5 linked regions of the Mus musculus genome follow. The protein of the gene in region 4 purifies or fractionates together with the protein of the main gene of each other region. This does not show direct contact. Links are inferred from orthologs where the notes say so. Each region holds a gene or a part of one and is shown on either strand. Other genes may lie near its edges.

What was found.
Region 1: the proteins of Klc1 (region 4) and Clstn1 purify together in Homo sapiens (co-immunoprecipitation; 3 studies listed by BioGRID and IntAct, with this or other methods). This does not show direct contact. The link is inferred for Mus musculus from reciprocal best matches to the Homo sapiens genes KLC1 and CLSTN1.
Region 2: the proteins of Klc1 (region 4) and Kif5b purify together in Homo sapiens (co-immunoprecipitation; 11 studies listed by BioGRID and IntAct, counting the BioPlex papers as one, with this or other methods). This does not show direct contact. The link is inferred for Mus musculus from reciprocal best matches to the Homo sapiens genes KLC1 and KIF5B.
Region 3: the proteins of Klc1 (region 4) and Kif5c purify together in Homo sapiens (co-immunoprecipitation; 4 studies listed by BioGRID and IntAct, counting the BioPlex papers as one, with this or other methods). This does not show direct contact. The link is inferred for Mus musculus from reciprocal best matches to the Homo sapiens genes KLC1 and KIF5C.
Region 5: the proteins of Klc1 (region 4) and Kif5a purify together in Homo sapiens (co-immunoprecipitation; 7 studies listed by BioGRID and IntAct, counting the BioPlex papers as one, with this or other methods). This does not show direct contact. The link is inferred for Mus musculus from reciprocal best matches to the Homo sapiens genes KLC1 and KIF5A.

Annotation. Positions count from the first base shown.
Region 1 is NC_000070.6:149,585,113-149,589,274, reverse strand, and holds the start of Clstn1 (calsyntenin-1 isoform 1 precursor), read right to left. Parts: upstream 2,808-4,162; 5' UTR 2,594-2,807; coding exon 2,503-2,593; intron 1-2,502. UniProt on the Homo sapiens protein: Postsynaptic adhesion molecule that binds to presynaptic neurexins to mediate both excitatory and inhibitory synapse formation.
Region 2 is NC_000084.6:6,238,713-6,242,900, forward strand, and holds the start of Kif5b (kinesin-1 heavy chain), read right to left. Parts: upstream 2,813-4,188; 5' UTR 2,396-2,812; coding exon 2,270-2,395; intron 1-2,269. UniProt on the Homo sapiens protein: Microtubule-dependent motor required for normal distribution of mitochondria and lysosomes. Can induce formation of neurite-like membrane protrusions in non-neuronal cells in a ZFYVE27-dependent manner.
Region 3 is NC_000068.7:49,730,785-49,734,296, forward strand, and holds part of Kif5c (kinesin heavy chain), read left to right. Parts: intron 1-1,919; coding exon 1,920-2,066; intron 2,067-3,512. UniProt on the Homo sapiens protein: Microtubule-associated force-producing protein that may play a role in organelle transport. Has ATPase activity. Involved in synaptic transmission. Mediates dendritic trafficking of mRNAs.
Region 4 is NC_000078.6:111,757,539-111,761,651, forward strand, and holds the start of Klc1 (kinesin light chain 1), read left to right. Parts: upstream 1-1,310; 5' UTR 1,311-1,504; intron 1,505-4,113. UniProt on the Homo sapiens protein: Kinesin is a microtubule-associated force-producing protein that may play a role in organelle transport. The light chain may function in coupling of cargo to the heavy chain or in the modulation of its ATPase activity.
Region 5 is NC_000076.6:127,235,853-127,239,364, reverse strand, and holds part of Kif5a (kinesin heavy chain), read left to right. Parts: coding exon 1-191; intron 192-473; coding exon 474-620; intron 621-1,459; coding exon 1,460-1,648; intron 1,649-1,950; coding exon 1,951-2,068; intron 2,069-2,368; coding exon 2,369-2,433; intron 2,434-2,534; coding exon 2,535-2,644; intron 2,645-3,209; coding exon 3,210-3,311; intron 3,312-3,512. UniProt on the Homo sapiens protein: Microtubule-dependent motor required for slow axonal transport of neurofilament proteins (NFH, NFM and NFL). Can induce formation of neurite-like membrane protrusions in non-neuronal cells in a ZFYVE27-dependent manner.

The sequences.
Region 1 (4,162 bases), on a different chromosome or scaffold from region 4:
CAAACAGTTTATGCCATTCCATCTTGCAACAAGAAACAAACGGGAATGCTGAAGGGGCAGTGTGGCTCAGGAGCAGATGCCTGTCCAGCCTTCGGGCCCTGGGCTCCGTCCCCAGCACCAACGTTGCAGGGAGGACTCAGATGTTCACTGGAATAATGAGCCCAGGGAAAGTGCCTCCAGAAACCGCATATTTACATATAAAACTCATTTGTAACATTTCAAACTGAAATTGTTTTATTAGCATGTCATGGAATATTCATGACCATGCAAGCTGGAAAAAAAACGGTAAATGCAAAAGAAAAACTGATGTTCAAACATTTTTACTTTGTAAGACGTTGGAAATTTCACATTCCTCTCAGCCATAATGAGGGTAATCAGGTGAGCCTGACCATGGTTTACCCAAGTAACTAAAAGATGAGCAGTACTGTAGGTAGATGCAGGAAGACACCTTAAAAGCAGTAATTCAAGCAGGCGATGCTATTACCAACTCAACTAAACATTACTTGAACTGTTTCCAAAATACCCAACCCAGCCCTCCCCTCCTTTCATGTATGGGCTGGTTTTTTTTTCCAAAAGAAGCAAAACCAAGTTTTCTTCCTCTTAAATAGACCAGGCTTCAAACCTCATTTCATACTTGGTTTGCTGAAACTTTTCAAAAAAAAAAATCAAATGCACGGTAATTAGATACTTAGTGGCAAGGAGCTGAATTTGACAAGAATGGACAGAATGTTCTAGATGGAATAAAAGAAGTTTTCAGTTTATCACCCTCTGTGTGGCACGCTGGAACAAAGGATGCTTTGCCCTCTTCTGCCCTTTTTTGTGAACACAACTTTCCTAAGTCAGGCCAAGCAGAAAAGGCAATCTTTTTTTAAAGCTTGCAAAGTTATTACGTGACCATCTCACCCAGACTTCTATCAATCCTCCTCCCACAAAGCTCTTTTGATTTCCAAAATATACACTTGAAGAAAATAGATTCGAGCACTCTCTACAGACTATCTACCTAGACTACTTTAAGACCAGGAAAAATGTTTACGGTTTCAAGTTCCATTCAGAAGGCTTTATCTGCAATGCGTAAGCAGTTTTGGTGGCAAGCTCGGTCAATATCAGAAGGCAGGTACAATGTTTAGATGAAGTGGATGAAGATTTAAAACAGCAAAATCCTATTTGCCTCCCACACTCCTAAGGAATTAGCGGGGCTGGCTGGTCTCTGTGGTGGTCATACAAGTCCGGTACACTACTCTGAGTAAAGGTGCAGCGGACGAGCGCTTTGTTCACACTGGTGGATGAAAAGTGATCACAAACACCTTCTCAATTTCGTCTTTGGGCAAAAGGGTGGGAAGGAAGAGGAGTTTTCGCCTCTGTTACTTCCGAAACCGCGTTTAAAGGACGCGGAGAGGAGGCGAAAAGGGGCGAAGTCGTGGTGTCCACCTAGCCGCAGCAGAGAACCGGGATCTTGGGAAAGTGATGCGGAGGAGTGGAATCTTATGTAAGCACACACCAAAATCCTTGCGTGCATCCCTGGGCTGATCATCCAACACACGTACACTGCATCCCACCCAGGGGCGCACCCCCCAGGCTGCATGCGCTACTGGAAAGTGGGCTAACTCCCACCGCGTGTCCCCAGATCTCCCCAGACCAGCACCTCAAGCACCCTGGGGCTACAACTAGGGCAGTCATGGCCCAGGTGCCCCGCCCGGGTACAAAATTGGCTTCCCCAGGCATCTGCAGCGCGCGCCTAGGTTCTCCGGAGCTCTTCTCTGAGCGCCTGAACCTGAATCTCACGTAGCGAGCGGGCTCGATGTTCCGCACTCAGCCCAGAGCCCCGCTCCCAGGCAATCAGTCACACAGTCGGGTCGGAACCCCGCGCCCCAGCAACACTACCTCACTCGGCACCGATCCCTGTGCGCTGACACTATTCCTGCACTGGGTCCTGTACCTGTGCACCTGATACGATCTGGGCCCCGAACCTTGCTGGAGACGATCTGCGCACCGGGATCCGAGCCTCGCCCAATACGACGCGCGCACTCGGACCTGAACCCTCAGCCCTGGCACAATTCCCACACTCGGACCCAAATTCCGCGGCCCTGCACGACTCCTGCACTCTGCCCACCTCCTTGCACCCGGTTACTATGCCCGAACTCGGACCCAACCTTGCCCAATATGACTCGCGCACTCGTATCCGAACCCTGGGCCTCGGCACGATCCCCACACTCGGACCCGAACCTTGCCTGATACAATGCGCGCACTAGGACCCGAACCCTGGGCTCTGGCACGAGTCCCGCACTCGGCCCAGAACCCAGAGGCCCTACAGGACTGCAGCACTTGCCCATAACCCCGCCGCCCCGCATGACCCTCGCACTCAGCCCCCCACCTTGCACCCGAGCACGGTTCCCGCACCCGGCCCCGACCCGAACCCCGCGGCCCCGCATGACTTCTGCATTCGGCCCAACCTTGCACTCGGTTCTGACTCCCGCACCCGGCTCACCGCGCCCCGTCGCTTACCTCGCGCGGCCCAGACCCCGCCGCCGCACAGCAGCCCCGCCAGCAGCAGCCGGACGGCCGGGGCCAGCGCGGGCGCAGGGCGGCGCAGCATCGCTCGGGCTCGGGGCGCCACGGCCGGCCCGACGCGGAAGCAGCAGGGAGTCGCGCGGGACGCCGAGAGGGGCGCGGGCAGCCGGGGGCCGGCGGCTGGGCGGCGCGGCGAGCACCGGGATGGGAACGGCAGCCGCCGTGCTGCTGGGCCGCGCGCGCCCTCCCCTCGTCGGCAGCGCTGCGCTGGAGGCGGCGGCGGCTAAGATGGCGGCGGCGCTCTCTCTCGGGTCCGGCGAGGGTACCCGGCCGGGGGCGGGGTGGCGGCGGGCGGGGCGGGGAGGGAGAGCGCGCGCGCACGCTCCCCGCTCCGCGGGTGCGCGAGCCCACAGGCTGAGCCCTGGGTGCGCGCCTGCGGGGACGCGCCGAGGAAGATTGGCCCGGGAGCAACCGGGAGGGACCCGCTGGACGCGCCCCCTGCCCGCGGCCAACCCGGAGCATCCACTCCTCCTCCTCGCGCGCGCCCCTGGACGCTGCACCTGGAAGCCCCCCAAGGCACCTGGGGATCCGCTCCTTGGTTTCCGAACCTAAGGACTTGTCCTACTGCAGATCCTAGGGCCTCAGAGCTCCAGCACCCGGCCACTTCATCCAAGCGGTGTCACCTCCAAGCACCTCGGTGACCTCCTCTGCCGAGTGGAGGTGATGAGCAAAGCTTGTGGGCTCAGGAAAGGTTGCAGGGACACAACTCATCCCAGTGAGTTTGGTAAAAGCCTAGGGTGGCTGTACTTGTTCTCCAGCTCCAGTCTGGGGGTTTGGAAAGGGACTTTTGTCTCCAGGGACTCCTGATTTACCGTAGAAACCTTTTGTCGCTTATTTATAGCCTTGTAGCGCGATAAAGAAGATGCTAAGTACCCTTTAGGAATATGGAGAGTCAAAAGAAGGGCCCTTTCTGGGGTTCTCTGCAGGGTTCTCTGGAGTCTGTCCCTTTTCCTTGTATGTCTCCTGTAATCTGGATGGACAAACAGACACACACACACACACACACACACACTGCCCTATTCTAGAGGAGAGGGCTGACAGAGTCACGGTGGGCTTCGGTGAGCACACTGTGTTGCAGCTGAGGAAAGTGAAATGCCTTCTCAGGTCAAACAACTGAGAGTCATCAGCCCTGGAGGGCAGGGTGGCCTCATTAGGGAGACACCCACAACACAAACCTCAACAGCCCTGCAACAGTTATTTCGGCCACTGTTGGAAGAGTCGCCAGCGATGTCCAGGGCGTGTTTGAGAGAGGATGGGGTGCTGGTGGGCCAGCTTGGGGAGAGGGTGAGGAAGGCGGACAGCCCTCCAGGCTGGGTGGAGTATGGCCTGTGGAGAGAGAGCATTGTTTAGGAAAGTTTGGGCAAGAAGCCCACAGAGGTAGACTGAGGTGCCTGGACACGGCAGGACAGAGGATTTGGACTTGACGCTACAGGAAGACCTTCAACAGCTGTGAGGAGAGGTACGGTGACCTGTGCGCAGACCAACCGACCTACCGAGACAGGGTCAAAGCAAACTGTAACGGAAACTCTCCTCTCTGTCCTTTGTTTCCTGACCTGTCCCCACCTCTAGACCACGCCCCAGCACTCCTCCCAAA
Region 2 (4,188 bases), on a different chromosome or scaffold from region 4:
TAGGGGAAAGAACATTATTATAAAGCCACAGGAAACACTGGGGACACTAAGAAGATATTTAATATATCTCATCCCTATTTTAGGAATTGATTTCTTACATGTATTATCTGTATTATATGCTTTTGTCTCTGTGTTCAAGTTTTAGTGAATTTTAAAAGCCTATTTGGTGACTTATACAGGGATTTAAGGAACGAAATGAAAGTCTCCATGTCCAAGAAATGTTTTATTAAAATTGGTTCTGAGGATAACAGGAAAAATTTTGGACAGAATATTAAAAGCTAAACTTAGAAGAAAAGCAGACTCCTTAATTATTTTCTATCTGAACAGTGATTATGATTACCATTCAGTTGACATTATAAACAAACACATTTAAGTCATTTCATCATCTACCCTAAGTTTCTATTCATCACTTAAACTTATTTGTATTACTTACAGAAATTTTGAAACAGAAATTATGGCAACTTTTTCCAAAGGAAAGGACCTAAAATAAATGTGTTTTCTGTAGTGGTCTATCTTTTGTTTCATATATTATGGCCACTACCCTCTTGTCTCAGGCTCACCAGTGCTATGATTACAAGTATGTAAGCCACCACAACTTAATATATTTTGTAAATCCTGAAATCTGGCATTCCAAGCAAAACAAATCTTAGCAATATTTACAATTTTTTTAAAACAAGCACAAAAACTCAGAGAATTAAGACCATCTTAATACAAGTGACAAATGAAGTATAGCTAAAGCTGCATAATCATAGATGGGAAGGAATAAGTAGCCTCAAATTTGGGGACTAATAGTGGAGTTGAAACCCGGTAAGGAGTGCAGGCACAACATACACCCAACCACCTTCCACTCTATCCTCTGTGCACTAAAGAACAGGATTCCTATGCTCAATTAACATCCCTTCTTTACTACAAGAGCACCTTGAGGACTTACTAACAGAGAACTGGCTGGGCAGTGGTGGCACAGGCCTTGAATCCCGACTCTCAGGAGGCAGAGGCAGGCGGATTTCTGAGTTCAAGACCAGCCTGGTCCAGTTCCAGGACAGCTAGGACTATACAGAGAAATCCTGTCTCGAAAAAGAAAAAGAAAAAAACAAAACGAAACAAAACACCCCCCAAAGAACTGGCCTGATAGTCTTCACACAGCAGTAATAGTTTTTTTTCTACCAAAACCCTACCGGGAGGATACACTACTAACACATTCAATTTCCGAAAACTCAACTTTGAAAACCTTCACATTAACACACCCTCTAGAGAACTTCAGTACTATCTTCAGGCTAAAATGTTTTCACTCATCAATGGCCAGTCTCCTGTGACCTCTCTGCCCTATTTCTAAATTAAGTAGCTCAAACAATATACTAAATATAGATTACTACTCAAGAACAAACAATTTCGAGTAACAACTGACATTAACAATTGAATCCTAATAGCAATACCCATGGCATCATCACTAATGATGAATTTACTTGTTAGTTTAGCTCGATGTTCTGTATACTGAGGCAATCTTATCCAGTCACTTTTAATCTTGAGCTCAAAATGCTGTTTTCAGAGAACCTGCAATGCTAGATATAAAAAACCCTTTCAAGTTTCTCAAATAATAATCAATCAGCTCAGTTACATTTTCCACTACAAAGGAGTATTGCTTCCTCTCAGATTACCATAATCAATTTCTGTCAAGATAGACTGTATTAACATGAATCTAATAATGGTGATTCAAGCCCCATTGTAAGGTCTTTACAACACTATGTCTCGGCTATAGCTATCTTTCCTACAATGTTAAAACACGGTAAAGAATGAAATTCTAGATCTTTCTGACACTTATTTGGCCCAATCTAAATCCACTTATGACATTAGAGAGAACTCTAATTTCAAAGAAAAGCCACTAGTTCTTTTTACAGGCTCCAATTTCCCACTTATTACATGAAAAGTTGAGAGGGAGAACATTTAAGAAACACAAACACACACACACACACGGATGAGCGTGCACTAAACTAGCTCCTGGGATGCAGCCTCCAGAGCCCCAGGTGGGGGAGTGTCCAGAATGAGAAACAAGACACCTCCCAGCTGCCAAGCTTAGTACTGGGGTGGGGGTGATCCTCGAATCGTCGCGGAGTCTCCTGAACACTGCTCCTTCCTCCCTGGTCGTCTGAACCCGCAAACCCGGCTCGGGAGAGCGAGCACTCCCTGCTCCCTCTGGGCTTTGCGACCGGCCATGTCCCAGAGCTCACCGTCCTGCCCGACCCCACGTGACATGGGGACAGGGGCCACTCACCGCGATCATCACCGTGTCTTCTCCCTGGAATTTGGCGACGTACTTATCGCCGCGGTTCACTTCAGATTCGTTGAGAGGTCTGAAGCGACACATCACTTTGATGTTGCACTCCGCCGGGTCCGCCATCTTTCTGGAAGCCGGGACCGCAGGCCGGGCGCCTCTTCAAGCCGCTCAGTCTTGGGGTAAGCGAGGGGAGCCAAGAGGCAGGGGTCGCGAGGACCGGAAGGTCCGGGCTCCGCAGCGCCGTGCACCCCGGGCAGCTAGACCGAAGCGCTGTCGCCGGCAGCCTGCGCCCGAAGTTCACTTCCGCTCCATCATGGCGGCCAAGGCGGCGGCGCCCACAGAGCCTCGATGCTCCTCGGCGTCTCCCTCACCGGCCTCCACAGGCTGCGGGGACTGGCGAGCGGCTCCTTCTTTTCTTTTCGGGAAGGACAGCCGAGGCCTAGGGCTCGGCCCACTATCCTGTCCCGGCAGCTCGCCGGCTTCCCGGCCAGCTGACGCGCGCACCCTCCAAAGGCCTTAGTGCCCAGGCCGGCGGCAAACTGGGCGGGCGGGAGGAACACTGCGCAGGCGCGGGGCGATGCCCAGCAGCCAATCCTTGCCCGCGCCGGGCCGCAGGCTTTGCCTGGCTCCACCTCAGCTGCAGGTTTGGGGCTTCAGATCGAGTTTTCCTGCAAGTTGAGTAGCGCCAAGGCCGCTGCAGAATTCCTCAGAGCATCGGAAGGTTTACTTATCTTTTTCTTTGGAGGAGTTTGTTTTAACCACTTAATGGTGGTGTTCAATTTTGTATAAGGCCAGATCCCTAAAAAAAAAAAAAAAGGGGCTTTCATTTTGGCCTTAGAGAAAAAAAAAAGAAAGATTACTGATGCAACCTTGGGTTTTATTTTGTTTCTGTTTTAAATCGCTTTGCCAAAACCGGGGAGATTTGAGTTAAGGGTGGGGCATGGCCGGGGTGCAGCAGTAATGCACCCCGCCCTGCGAGCCTGGGAGCTTTATTCAGACAAAGCAGAGAAAGGGGAAGCTTCTTTCAAGCAATGAAAAAGTTTCCCAAGCGATACGGAACAGCTAGGTGGGATGGAAGAAGAACCTACCCTCATGTGTCTCCTCTAGCTGCCCAGGGCTTGACATCACACAGGTGAGCCACAGGAGCCCAAAGGTATTTGGTAAATCTGAGGTCCCACTTCTCCGACCAATGGGAAACTTCACTTAGCTGCAACACCAAAGGAATGGTGTTGCAGCACCAGATCCTTACGAGTGTCTTTAAAGGCCTAGATCACCTGTTCACAACCTGTGGGTCACAACCTCTTTGGGAATCGCATATCAGATTTTTTTATATTACTATTCATAACAGTAGCAAAATTACAGTTACGAAATAGCAGCGAAATAATTTCATGCTTGGGGATCACCATAACATGAAGCATATTAATGGTCTCAGCATTCGGAGGGTTAAAGACCACTGACCTAGATTAATACGTGCGGGTGACATATCTGAGAAAACCACTCCTGGGGCTAGAGTTGGAACTCTGGTAGTGTGTTTGCTTAGAAAGCAGGAGGCCCTGGCTTCAACCACCCCCTGCACTTCAAAAATAGATGACTTAGCATTCCCTTTTCAGAAGATAAATACCACAAAAACTCTATGTGGAAATGGCTCTGAGGTTCTGCAAGGAAAAACTTCAGTGACGATAAGAAACCTTTCTTCTGGCTTCCAGACTTTGCTGGGTAAATGAATGGTGGGACTATGGACACCTCCCTGACCCCTGAATTTGCTGGAACATTCTAGCACCTCTAGAAACAAATAGATCCAGCTTGATTGGCTTTCTGCAATGGAGAAGAGCACAATTGCAGGGGAACAGTGGAGAATCTTAGAAATAAAGAAAACAGGGGCATTATCACAGGCCTTGGAAGTGTGGACTTTGGAT
Region 3 (3,512 bases), on a different chromosome or scaffold from region 4:
CCACAGTTTACATCCTGCTGAATGACAGTGTTCCCCGACTTCCCACCCTCTTGTCCTAGTCGGAAGGACAGAGGTAAGCTGGCCCTGTTCACTGGCTTCCAGCCGAGGGATCGCTGTATTTCTGGTTCCTCCCTGAGAGACAGCTGTTGTGGGTTTTACTTGGTGGGCTAGTGACAGGTAGTCTGCTGTGGCCGGTGAGCATTTGGTGATGTGGCGGATGCCATGCCCTTTGCTGCCTGGAGATGGCTCACAGAGAAATTGAGTTGCTGTAGCCTGGTGTCCTTGGTGGCTCTGCCTGAAGGACCTGGTGTCCTGGACTGTGCCATACTACCTTAATAGAAACATCAGTCCCGGGCACTCAGAGCAGGGTGGGGAGGAAAGCACTGGCTGCTGGCAGTGGAGCGGACAGGAAGTACTATTTACTCCCCACATCCTACTGCATCGGGGAAGAAAGGCCTTCCTAATGGTTTCCATGGGACAGGGCTGCTATGTCTGTGGTATTAAATAAGGTGAAACAAATAGTTGGCAGTGCTGATGGACTGTAAGTCCCTGCAGACTCACTGAGAGAGGACTGCCACTCTGCCTCTACTCAGTGTCCCCCTGGGTTCCTACAGCGTGTCCCTTCTGTGTTGTACATCTGAAAGCAAGGCAAGATTTTCTATAGTACGCTTCTCGTTTTGTGTCAGAACAACTATTATCAGACTGCTTTAATATACTATTTTTAGTAAGTGGTAGCGACTCACTGAAAATGCCTTTGAATTAACTTGCAAGGCCCGGGGAGGAGAGGACTTCCTTCTGCAGCACAGGCTGTTGGTACCAAGATGCTAGAAGAGCTACGATTCCAGTGCTGCGCCTGAAGAAGGCATTGCTTCTCCTGCTAACAATCGGGGTGGGGGGATAGAAAAGAGGTTAATTTGATGAAGTTTGGTGAGAAAATCGAGCTTTTGCTGCTATGAAGAAGCTCTGCTATGGAACCTGAGTAATTCTGAAGAATTATAGTATTTAATTTGGCTTCCCTGAGGACTAGAAGATGTTCTAAGTTGTTACCTATCCTCATTAGTGTTTGTCTGGGCTATTGATTCCAGACCCCATTACTCAGGGTATTTGGATGGGACCCAGGGAGGAGATTTTTGTTTGAGCATGGAGCTGGGGAACCTGAAATAGAACAAGGGGGAAGAAACAACCTTTGGTAAGTTAGAAAATGTAGTTAAATCCTATAAACGTAGGGCCTCTTTTTGCGCCAGTGTGTACAGGTAGAGACCAAGTCAGCCCTCAGCATCCTTCTTTAAAGTGTGCTCTGTCTTTTTATTTTGAGACAGTCTCATTGTTTTGGAACTCACTGAGTATGGTAGATTGTTGTCCAATGGCCAGAGGAATCCTTCCAGTCCTGGGATAACAATGGCGCACCACCAGACCCAGATAGAGCTTCCAGGATTCAAACCTAGGTCCTTATGCTTGTGCCCCAAGCACCTTACAGACGGAGCTCTCTCTCCAACCTCTTATTTATTTAAAAGGCCTTACTACAATTTACTTATTTTTATGTTCACGTACCATGGTACCTGGGTGGAGGTCAGAGGACAGTTTGCTGGAGTCAGTTCTTACCTTGACCCAGTGAGCCCTGCTCTGGGCCCTGAATTCATTTACAGTAACTCACTTTGCTAGCGTCGATATAACCAATAATAATAATAATAATACATATCTAGTAATAATACATAGCTGGTTTTACAAGGTAACATCTCTGAATTAAGTTTCTGTATCAGAACCAAGTGCTACGCAGCAGTCAGCCTTCAGAGTGCTTTTCCACTGAGATCAGAGGAGTGATTAAAGAGCTGGGTCTGGCATGGGCTGTTGAGCTCTGGAGGTCACAGGTGGAAATTCATGGGCCACCTTGGTAACCTGTGGCTGACTTTGTTTTCCAGACGACACTGACAACCACCCAGCGAGAGCTGAGTCAGCTGCAAGAGCTTAGTAACCACCAGAAAAAGAGGGCCACAGAGATCCTGAACCTGCTTCTCAAGGACCTGGGGGAGATAGGCGGAATTATTGGCACCAACGATGTGAAGACTGTAAGCCAGACTTGTGTTCTCTGTTCCTACCCTGACTGGTGTGATCCGAGTCAAGCTCTGCAGCACCTGAGGCTCAGGGCTGTACTCTGCACCTGGCGCATGCTGAAAAAGGAGAGCTGGCGCATGAAGCAGGGGCTGGGGGAGGGGATGGAGAGGAACAGTTTGCCTTTCAGATCTGGGGGGCATCTTCCAGTCTTGGTTGGTTTTGTGTGGCTTGTTTTTTTTTTTCTTTAGCCTTACCTGCAATGCTCTCACACTGGGGCTCAGCTGGGAGAAGCTGCAGGCCAGGTCTCAGTCCCCACCCTTCCCCACCCCCCCAGCCCAATGCAGTGAGAATTCTCCAGCCAAGCAGTACGAATTGAGAAAGCTTCCAGCTGAAAGTCATAGGCAGCTAGCAGGGGCTGAAAGAGTAAACCACACTTAATTATGTGTAACAGGAGGAGGCTAGGCCTTGTTACTCAGGGTCATCTGCATCACCTGGGGCTAATTAGCAATTTAGACCCCAGGCTGACCTCAGACATACTGAAGCGGACTCTGTGTTTTAACAAGATGACTCGTGGCTTATTAAAGTTAGAGAACCCAATTTGGTTTCATTGCAGTGGCTCCACAATCCACAGGACCCGACTGTTGTGTTTCCTCTCTGCCCATCCTTAGCTACTTTCATTTTCATATCTTTACGCTTTTGCCTCGTAGCAAGATCACTGCTGTAGCACCAACTGTCAAGTCTTTATTCATTTACATCCAGTGTGCTGTATCACTAACCACTTTTATCCAGGAGAGGGGACTATATACCAGAAATTCCCAATCTTATGTAGCCTTAGGGCAGCTGCAAGGCAGCGGTTTCAGGCCCTGCCAGGTTAAGCTTTTAAGTCACGGCTAGGCTGGTCTGTGCTTGACGGTTAATGTTTAGAGCCACATGTTGCTGTTGAGCAGTGTAGTTCTGACATGGGGCTGATTAAAGGCTCGCAGGACCTCATGGAGTGGATTTGTGGGACGTTGGCACCTCCTGCTGATAACAATAAGAAAAGATATTTTTATGCTAAGATCTTACACTGAGCTGAGGAACACATTAGTGAACTCAAAGCGTGTCTGTGCTTTGCCATTAAAGGTCCTTCCTGCCGGAAATCCTAAGTATGATGAGAGGATTTTTAAATACCTAATTGCATGCTTTGGGATTATTTTTAGGTTCCAGACACTAGATGCCCTTAGCTAATTTCATTGATGACTCTCACTTACAGATCACGGTAGTCTCAGAGAGCCTCCTTCCATGCTGGACCAATGGCAAAGGCTGCCAGTGTATCTGTGCTGTTGCATTATGGGAGGGATAGAACGGGGAGCAGTATCGGGAGGCAAATCTCAGTCACCAACCCAACTCACGTTTAGCAAGGGCCTCCATGATGGGGAGTCACAGCTGATAATTGTAGCTTTTCCTGCTGGTCACTTAGT
Region 4 (4,113 bases):
CTGCAGCAGGGTTGATTAGCTTGGTCTTTCCTCCTCCCCAACACAGCAGGGGTGCTCCTGTCTCAAGATTTAATGGAGTGTTCTACGCTGGTTCCGTGGTCCTGTTCTTTCCTGTGTGTGTCAGCACAATTTTCTGACCTTGGAGTTTGGGTCATGTGCCACTCCCTCACCACTCTGCCTGCAATTTTACTGTTTTCAACAAGTCAGATTCTGTTTGAGCTTGTTTTTTCTCATTGGAATGGGAGCTGGCCAGCAGACACCATCTGCCACTTTATGTACCTGGGTCTTCCTGTGAGAACCTTGGGAACTTAGTGGATATCAGTTGAAGGGGCAAAAGAACGAGATGATAAAGCTTGAACAAAGCAATGGCAGGGACAGATGAAACAAAAAAGCCCTTTGCTTGCTGAAGAAGTGTGTGCATATACAGGACTCGGAGGGGCAGTGATTGACCCATGGGAAAGAAATGGGCTCCCGCTTAGCCTACTCTTTTCTTTCCAACACCACCTGGGCAGGGGCCGTCATATGCTTTGTTCAGATGTATGGCAGTGGCTGAAGAGCCGGCGACACCCAACATCCAAGCAGCAGTTTGTGTGCTGGGGCAAGTGAAGCCTGCAGTAAAGACTGAACCCACAGCCTCTCCTTAGGCCAACATGGGCTGCTGCGCTCCCCACGGGAGCTGCCCCTTTATTGGCCAGCCTTTGAATTTTCTAGGAGGTCAAAGTAACTGGATCTGCTTGTTAAGATCAAAAGCACCTGCCTCCCTGATGTTGGTAGGTATAAGTGCAGGGTGGAGGACCGCAGCAGGTTCTGGGCAATACCATCAGAAGAGGGAAGCGTTTCCCAAGGTGGGGAGGCTGTGGGCATTCGCAACCCCTCCCCGTTAGTAATACAACCGCGCCATTCTGGAAACGTCTAAAGGCACCTGGAGGGTTCCCAAGCCGGTGGCAGGCAAGCTCGGCCTTGCCACTGACTCAGCGTCCCCTCCAACCCGCTGCTGAGTCAGGCCTGCAGTTGGGGTGCCAGGCGGCTGTGCGAGGCTCAGGAGCAACCTGAGCTGGCAAGCCTGCCCTTTGGGCCAGGCTGGAGGTCGAGCGAGAGCTGCGGCCAGGAGCGAGCCGCAGAGGGTGGGTCCTGGCCGCCTGGCGATCTTCCCGTCCTCCACGGGTGGAGGCGCGGCGAGGGAAGCCTCCCGGTCTGAGGCCACCACACACAGATTAGAGAGGCTCCTGGAGAGCTCCGGGCTGCGGACCCCAGCCTCAGTTTCCCCTGAGCCCCGCCCGGCGGCGCGAGGGCGGGTGACGTCACGGCGCACAGCATTGTGGGGCGGGCGCGGCGCCGGCGACGCCATTTTCGGCGGCGGAGGGTGGCGCGAGGCTGCGGAGCGCGGGTCAGGGTGAGGATGCTGCGGGGCGGCTGCGGAGGCGCCGCTTGCTGCTGAGGCGGCTGGGCTCTGCGCGGCCTCGGCCTGTGACAGCGCGACGAGCGCGACTCTCCCGATCGGACGGTGAGTGCGCGGCCTGGTCCCCGCCCCGCCCCGGGCTCCGCGCGGCTGGTGCGCAGTGCTCCAGACGCGGCCGCGACCCCTTCCCGCCTGCATCCTCCGGGCTGAGGCTTCTGGACCTTTCCGTCCACCGCCGCATCTGCACCCGGCCCTTCCAGGCTGCGATTTTGCTCCTCCGCCCGAACCCAGTCCCCTCCCTGGCCTTTCCATCCCTGTCTGCACCCTGGGGTTCCCTCTCCTCTCCGCTCCGTCCGCGCCCCTCCGTGCTCCGGTCTCTTGTCACCTCTGCCTGCGCGCCAGTAGTCTGCGGTCCTTGTCCTCTCTCAGCCTGTGCACATCCAGCAGGGGTTTCTGTCCTTTCTCCGCCTGCGCCTTTCTAGGCTCGGGTCTCTTGTCACCTCTCTGCGCTCCTCCAATCTGCGGTCCTTGTCCCTGTCTACCTGCGCCCCTGCTTTGGGTCCCTTCCCTGTCACTGGCTGCGCCCCTCCTGGCTGGGGTCTTTGTCGTCATCTCTCTGCCTGTACATCCAGGCTGAGGCTCTTCTCCCTTCCCTTCCTGTTCTGGTTCGGGTCCTGTCCTATCTCTGCCTGTCCCTCTCTGAGTTGAGGTCCTTGTCCCTTCTTCGTCCGTGACCCTCTAGGTTTGGGGCTCAGCTCTCTCTGCCTGCACTCTAGACTTCTGTTCCTGCCCCTTCTCTTCCACTCCCCTCCTGTGTCCCTCAGGCTTCTGTCCCATCTGTGTTCAGGGCCCCGCCCTGACTCGGGCCTCGGGGCGGGGGCGGCCTTCCAATGGCAGCTGTGGGCTTAAGGGACCCAAAGCCTGTCTGCTGAGGTCCTGAAGAGGTGGTGGTGGTGGTAGTGTGTGTGTTGGGGGTCAGCCGACTGGCTTTGTCTCAGGCCTCCCCGCCCTTCTAGCCCCCACCTCTCCCCGGCACCGCCCTGGGTGGCGTGCTGTCATGCTGTGGTCCATGGCCAGTGGCCAGCCAGTCTCTTTCTTTCAGTGGCCGGGTGTGGAATCTCCCTGTGACCTGAATGTGCCCGGCCTGGAGTGCTTTTCCTTGTTACATGTGGAGCCCCCTTCCCGTAAAAAAAAATTAAGGTGTTAATAAAGTAATATTAATATGTGACCGAGTGGATGGCATTATAATGAAGTTTGCAGGCCGTTTCCAGCTGTGTTGTGTTGGAATTGCTACTACCTGCTACTGTTATGTTATTGGTGATCTGGTGTACTTGCAAAAATGATGTCTTTAAAAAGCATGAGAACAAGAAATTTATATACCATTTAAACTGCTATGTTTTTGATTCTTTGCATTACTTAAATTCCAAGGCTCTTTATACGGTATGACAAAGCCTTAGGTCAGAATTAGCCTGGAATGCTTTGTAATAGGACAGTGAAACCCCATTAGGAAACTCGATCAACCTTGAGTCTCCTAAGCATGCCATAGTTAGGGATCTTCTACATGGAGGCCTATAGGCCTCAGTTGTGGTAGGAAATTTGACTTACTGTTCTTTGCAGTAAGTATTTGTAAGAATGCAATGATTCTATTTAAAATTCCACAGTGTGCGGTATGTGGGAGGGCGGGCCCCTTCTAGATCATTAAAGAATGCAGCATGTTGCAAGTCCAGCCTGATGCTCTGGTGGAACCAAGAGGGGTGGGACCTGGTGGTGACCGCTCTGTAGCACCAGCATTGTGAGAGCGTGTGTGGTGAACACATAGCAGGAAGTGACAGTATATGCCTATAACCCGGACACACTTGGGAGCCACAACTGCATAGCAAAATCTCAAAACAAAAATCCAAAGCAAGAAAAGCATAGACTTGCATGGAATCTGGACAGGGATTTTTTTCCAAGTGCAGAGATTGAAGAGGTGAGGTCTACACAGCTTAGCTATTCTACAGCAAAGTCTCCAGGCTGAAGAGGGCACTCAGTGCTAGGGTAGTAGCCTACATTCAAAAGATCCTGCTTCCTCAGTGCAAGAACAAACAAACCAAACATTACCCACAACCTAAATGTTTACATTAAGAAAGATTAATCCGGGCTGGAGGGATGGCTCAGCGGTTAAGAGCACTGACAGTTCTTCCAGAGGTCATGAGTTCAAATCCTAGCAACCACATGGTGGCTCACAACCATCTGTAATAGGGTTCGATGCCCTCTTCTGGTTTGTCTGAAGACAGCCACAGTGTACTCATATACATAAAATAAGTAAATAATTCTTTTAAAAAAAGATGAATCCATTCTTGGGACTGGAGGGATGGCTTAGTTGTTAAGAGTAATTATTGTCCTTTTAGAGGGACCTGGGTTTGATTCTTAGCACCCAGAAACAGCTCATAATTGTCCCTAACTACAATTCCAGGTAATCTGAGACCCTCTTCTGACCTCTGTGGTGCCCATGAACACCATGCAGGTGTACATGTAAACACTAACTCTTAACAACCAAAAGAAAACATTTTTAAGCATTTTTTTCAGGTTGGGAAAAGTGAAAATCTCTAAAGATCCATAAACAATCCCTAGAAATGGTTGACTTAAAAGAACTAGAAAGAAAACCTGAAGTGACTTTTTTGAAGCCAGAAGTTCTTAATTGAGTGACTGTCAGAAAGCAGATTATGCAACAA
Region 5 (3,512 bases), on a different chromosome or scaffold from region 4:
GGGGAGACAACGAGAAGGTCCAGCGGGAGCTTAGCCACCTGCAGTCCGAGAACGATGCTGCGAAGGACGAGGTGAAGGAAGTGCTGCAGGCCCTAGAGGAGCTGGCGGTCAACTACGACCAGAAGTCCCAGGAGGTGGAGGAGAAGAGCCAGCAGAACCAGCTGCTGGTGGACGAGCTGTCCCAGAAAGTGGTGAGTGGCCGGCGAGGGGCCCGGGGGCCCTCACAGCGCCTCTGCCTCCCTCCACTGCTGTCTGACGTTGCCCCCTGCGCTGTTGCTGCTGCGTGTGTCGAGACATCCTCCCCCGCCCGCCCTGCCTCTGCAATCTGCCCTTCTCTCTTCCAGAGGCTTCTGCAGGGTCTGTGTTCTCCCCATAGCAGCCCTCAGAGTCTTACATGACATGCGAGGCTCTGCTCAAGCTGGGAAGGGGAGCAGGAGGCTGGTAATGGTAATGACCTTAGGGGCTGTCCCTAGGCCACCATGCTGTCCCTGGAGTCCGAGCTACAGCGGCTCCAGGAGGTCAGTGGACACCAGCGAAAGCGGATCGCTGAGGTGCTGAATGGGCTGATGAGGGACCTGAGTGAGTTCAGTGTCATCGTGGGCAACGGCGAGATTAAGCTGGTGAGTGGGACGGAGGGCGGTGCCATCCAGGTGACATTAGCAGGGTCTAGAGGTGACAGAGGGTAGAACTGACATGCAAATCTGTGTGTAAGAACGTGACCTATTGGGATCGCCGGGCAGGACCAGATTACCCACATAAGAAAGTCCCTCGGGGTGCCGAGGTGAGCAGCTGTGGTCCCCGCCCTTCTGTAGGGTGAGACAGGCTTCAAGTCAGGGGTTCGAGACTAGCAAGGATGATGAAGCAAACAAAGACAAGACTCAGTGGTTTTCAAGGCAGACGGGAGAACTATCAGCATCTGAATGTGAATAGAGGCTTTGAAGTGAGATGCTAGTTAGTAGGAGCCGTGTCTCAGTCAGGGTTACCGCTGCTGTGGTGAAACCCTGTAACCAAAGCAACCTGAGGGGGGAAGGGTCTGTTACGGATCTCAGTCCACTGAGGGAACCTGGAAGCAGGAGCTGAAGCAGAGGCCATGGAGGGGCGCTGCTTACTGGCTTGCTCAGCCTGCTTTCTTATAGCGCCCAGAACCACCAACCCAACCGTAGGCTGGACCCTCCTGCATTGATCACTATTTGAAAAAAAAAAAAAATGTCCTGCAGGCTTGCTGACAGTCTGGTATTATGAGGGCATTTTCCCAATTGAGGCTCCGTCCTCTCAGATGATGCTGGCGTGTGTCAAGCTGACACAGAACTAGCCAGCACAAACTGCTCGAAGGTGTTGATGAGTTCCCAGCTTCCTTGAGTACCCGAGAAGGAGAGCGAGTCAGATGGGGAGGGGGAGGGATGCAGGTAAGGGCTTCCCGCCTCAGAGAAGCAGCTCTCCCTCCTCTGCCCACCCTCAGCCCGTGGAGATCAGTGGGGCCATCGAGGAGGAGTTCACGGTGGCCCGGCTCTACATCAGCAAGATCAAGTCGGAGGTGAAGTCCGTGGTTAAGCGATGTCGGCAGCTGGAGAACCTCCAGGTGGAGTGTCATCGCAAGATGGAGGTGACCGGTAGGGAGCTGTCATCTTGCCAACTGCTCATCTCACAGGTGAGCGTCTGAGGATGGGAGCCATAGCATGAGAACAGCTGTTCTGGGGTGATGGATAAACTCCCAACAATGGAGATCAAGGTCTGAAGAACTAGGGGGACAGGGAAGAGGATCCAGGCATGAAGTTTAGGGGGCATTGACCTTTGACCCCATTGCCTAAAGGAAGGGTCTCTATAGGATCATGGCCTTTAACCTCACAGAGGCTATGAGGGAAGGCGTGGGAGGATAGCTGCAGTTTATAGTGAAAGATCATTTATACCTCTGTCTCCTTGATGCCATCCACCCCTCTCCTCCCCCACCAGCATGAGGCCAAGATCCGTTCACTCACGGAGTACATGCAGACTGTGGAGTTGAAGAAACGGCACCTGGAAGAGTCCTACGACTCCCTGAGCGATGAGCTTGCCAGGCTCCAGGCGCACGGTGAGGCTCCTTGGATCTGAGGTCCCAGAGGGACCCCTAGGACAGTCACACACACTGGAGGAAATGGCCGGACAGCTCCTCACTTAGCATCAGCTTGAGTCCTGGGTTGTCGGCTCACGTGCTTCTCCTCATGTAGCCTGGCCTCTGCACGTCGCTCATTTTACTCGAATCCTAGACCCTCTGTTCTTCCTCACCCCTGACAAGGCAAATTGGACTGTCCCAAACCAGAACGTCCCTATGCGCCCATCCCCTGGGACCTGAGCTGGTGTCATGGAAGCTGTCTTCCTCCCTTTCACTTAGAAACTGTACACGAGGTAGCTCTGAAAGACAAGGAGCCAGACACACAGGACGCGGAGGAGGTGAAGGTGAGCTGGGGAGGTGTGGAATGGCTGTCTGGCAGGGCAGGGGCTGTGCTGACTGTCAGCCTAGGGGTCTGGCTCTGAGCACGGGGTTGTGCTCTCTGCAGAAGGCCCTGGAACTACAGATGGAGAATCACCGTGAGGCCCATCACCGGCAGCTGGCCCGCCTCCGGGATGAGATTAATGAGAAACAGAAAACCATTGATGAGCTGAAAGAGTAAGGGGCGGGGCTTAGAGGTGGCTCCAGTGTGTCTGTCAGTCCCCTCATCTTGTTGTGGCCACTCCAGCGATCCTTCTGGATCTTTAATGTCCTCAACAGTGACACGCCTTGAGGCCCAAACTTGAGAGACACGAGAAGGGCTGGAGAGGTGGCTCTGTAGTTTGAGAGCACTGGCTTGCTTTTCCAGAGAACCTGAGTTTGATTCCTAGCAACCACGTGGTGGCTCGCAACCGTCTGTAACTCCAGTCCCAGGGGATCTGACTGCCTCTTCTGGCCTCCTTGGGTACCAGGCACACAGACATACTCGCAAGCAAAACACCCATACACATAAAAAATTAATTAAAAGACACAAGTAGTTAGGATTAGACCTGTCCTTGGAACTTTTATGATTGCAGTACTCGGGGTCCCATGTTGCCATGAAAGTGGTAGCCGACGTGTATCCCCGATAGAGCCAGTGTGTATCCCTGATATCTGAAGTCGGGTGCATCAGGGCTGGTGTGAGGGGCGGGGCTTCCTCCCCCCCCCCCCCATTGAGTGTCTCTTTATGTCCCACCCTCCCCAGCCTGAACCAGAAGCTCCAGTTAGAGCTGGAGAAGCTTCAGGCCGACTATGAGAGGCTGAAGAATGAAGAGAACGAGAAGAGCGCCAAGCTCCAGGAGCTGACGTGAGTGACACACCTACCAGCAGACATGTGCAGATGCGGGATGCATGGGGGGCCTCTGTGGGGAGAGTCACAGGATGCAAGCATGAAAGGGTGGAGAGAGGGAAAGACACCAGCAAAAAGAATTGCCAGGCCAGCTGTGGTGGTGCACGCCTTCAATCCCAGCACTTGGGAGGCAAGGTAGGCGGATTTCTGAGTTCAAGG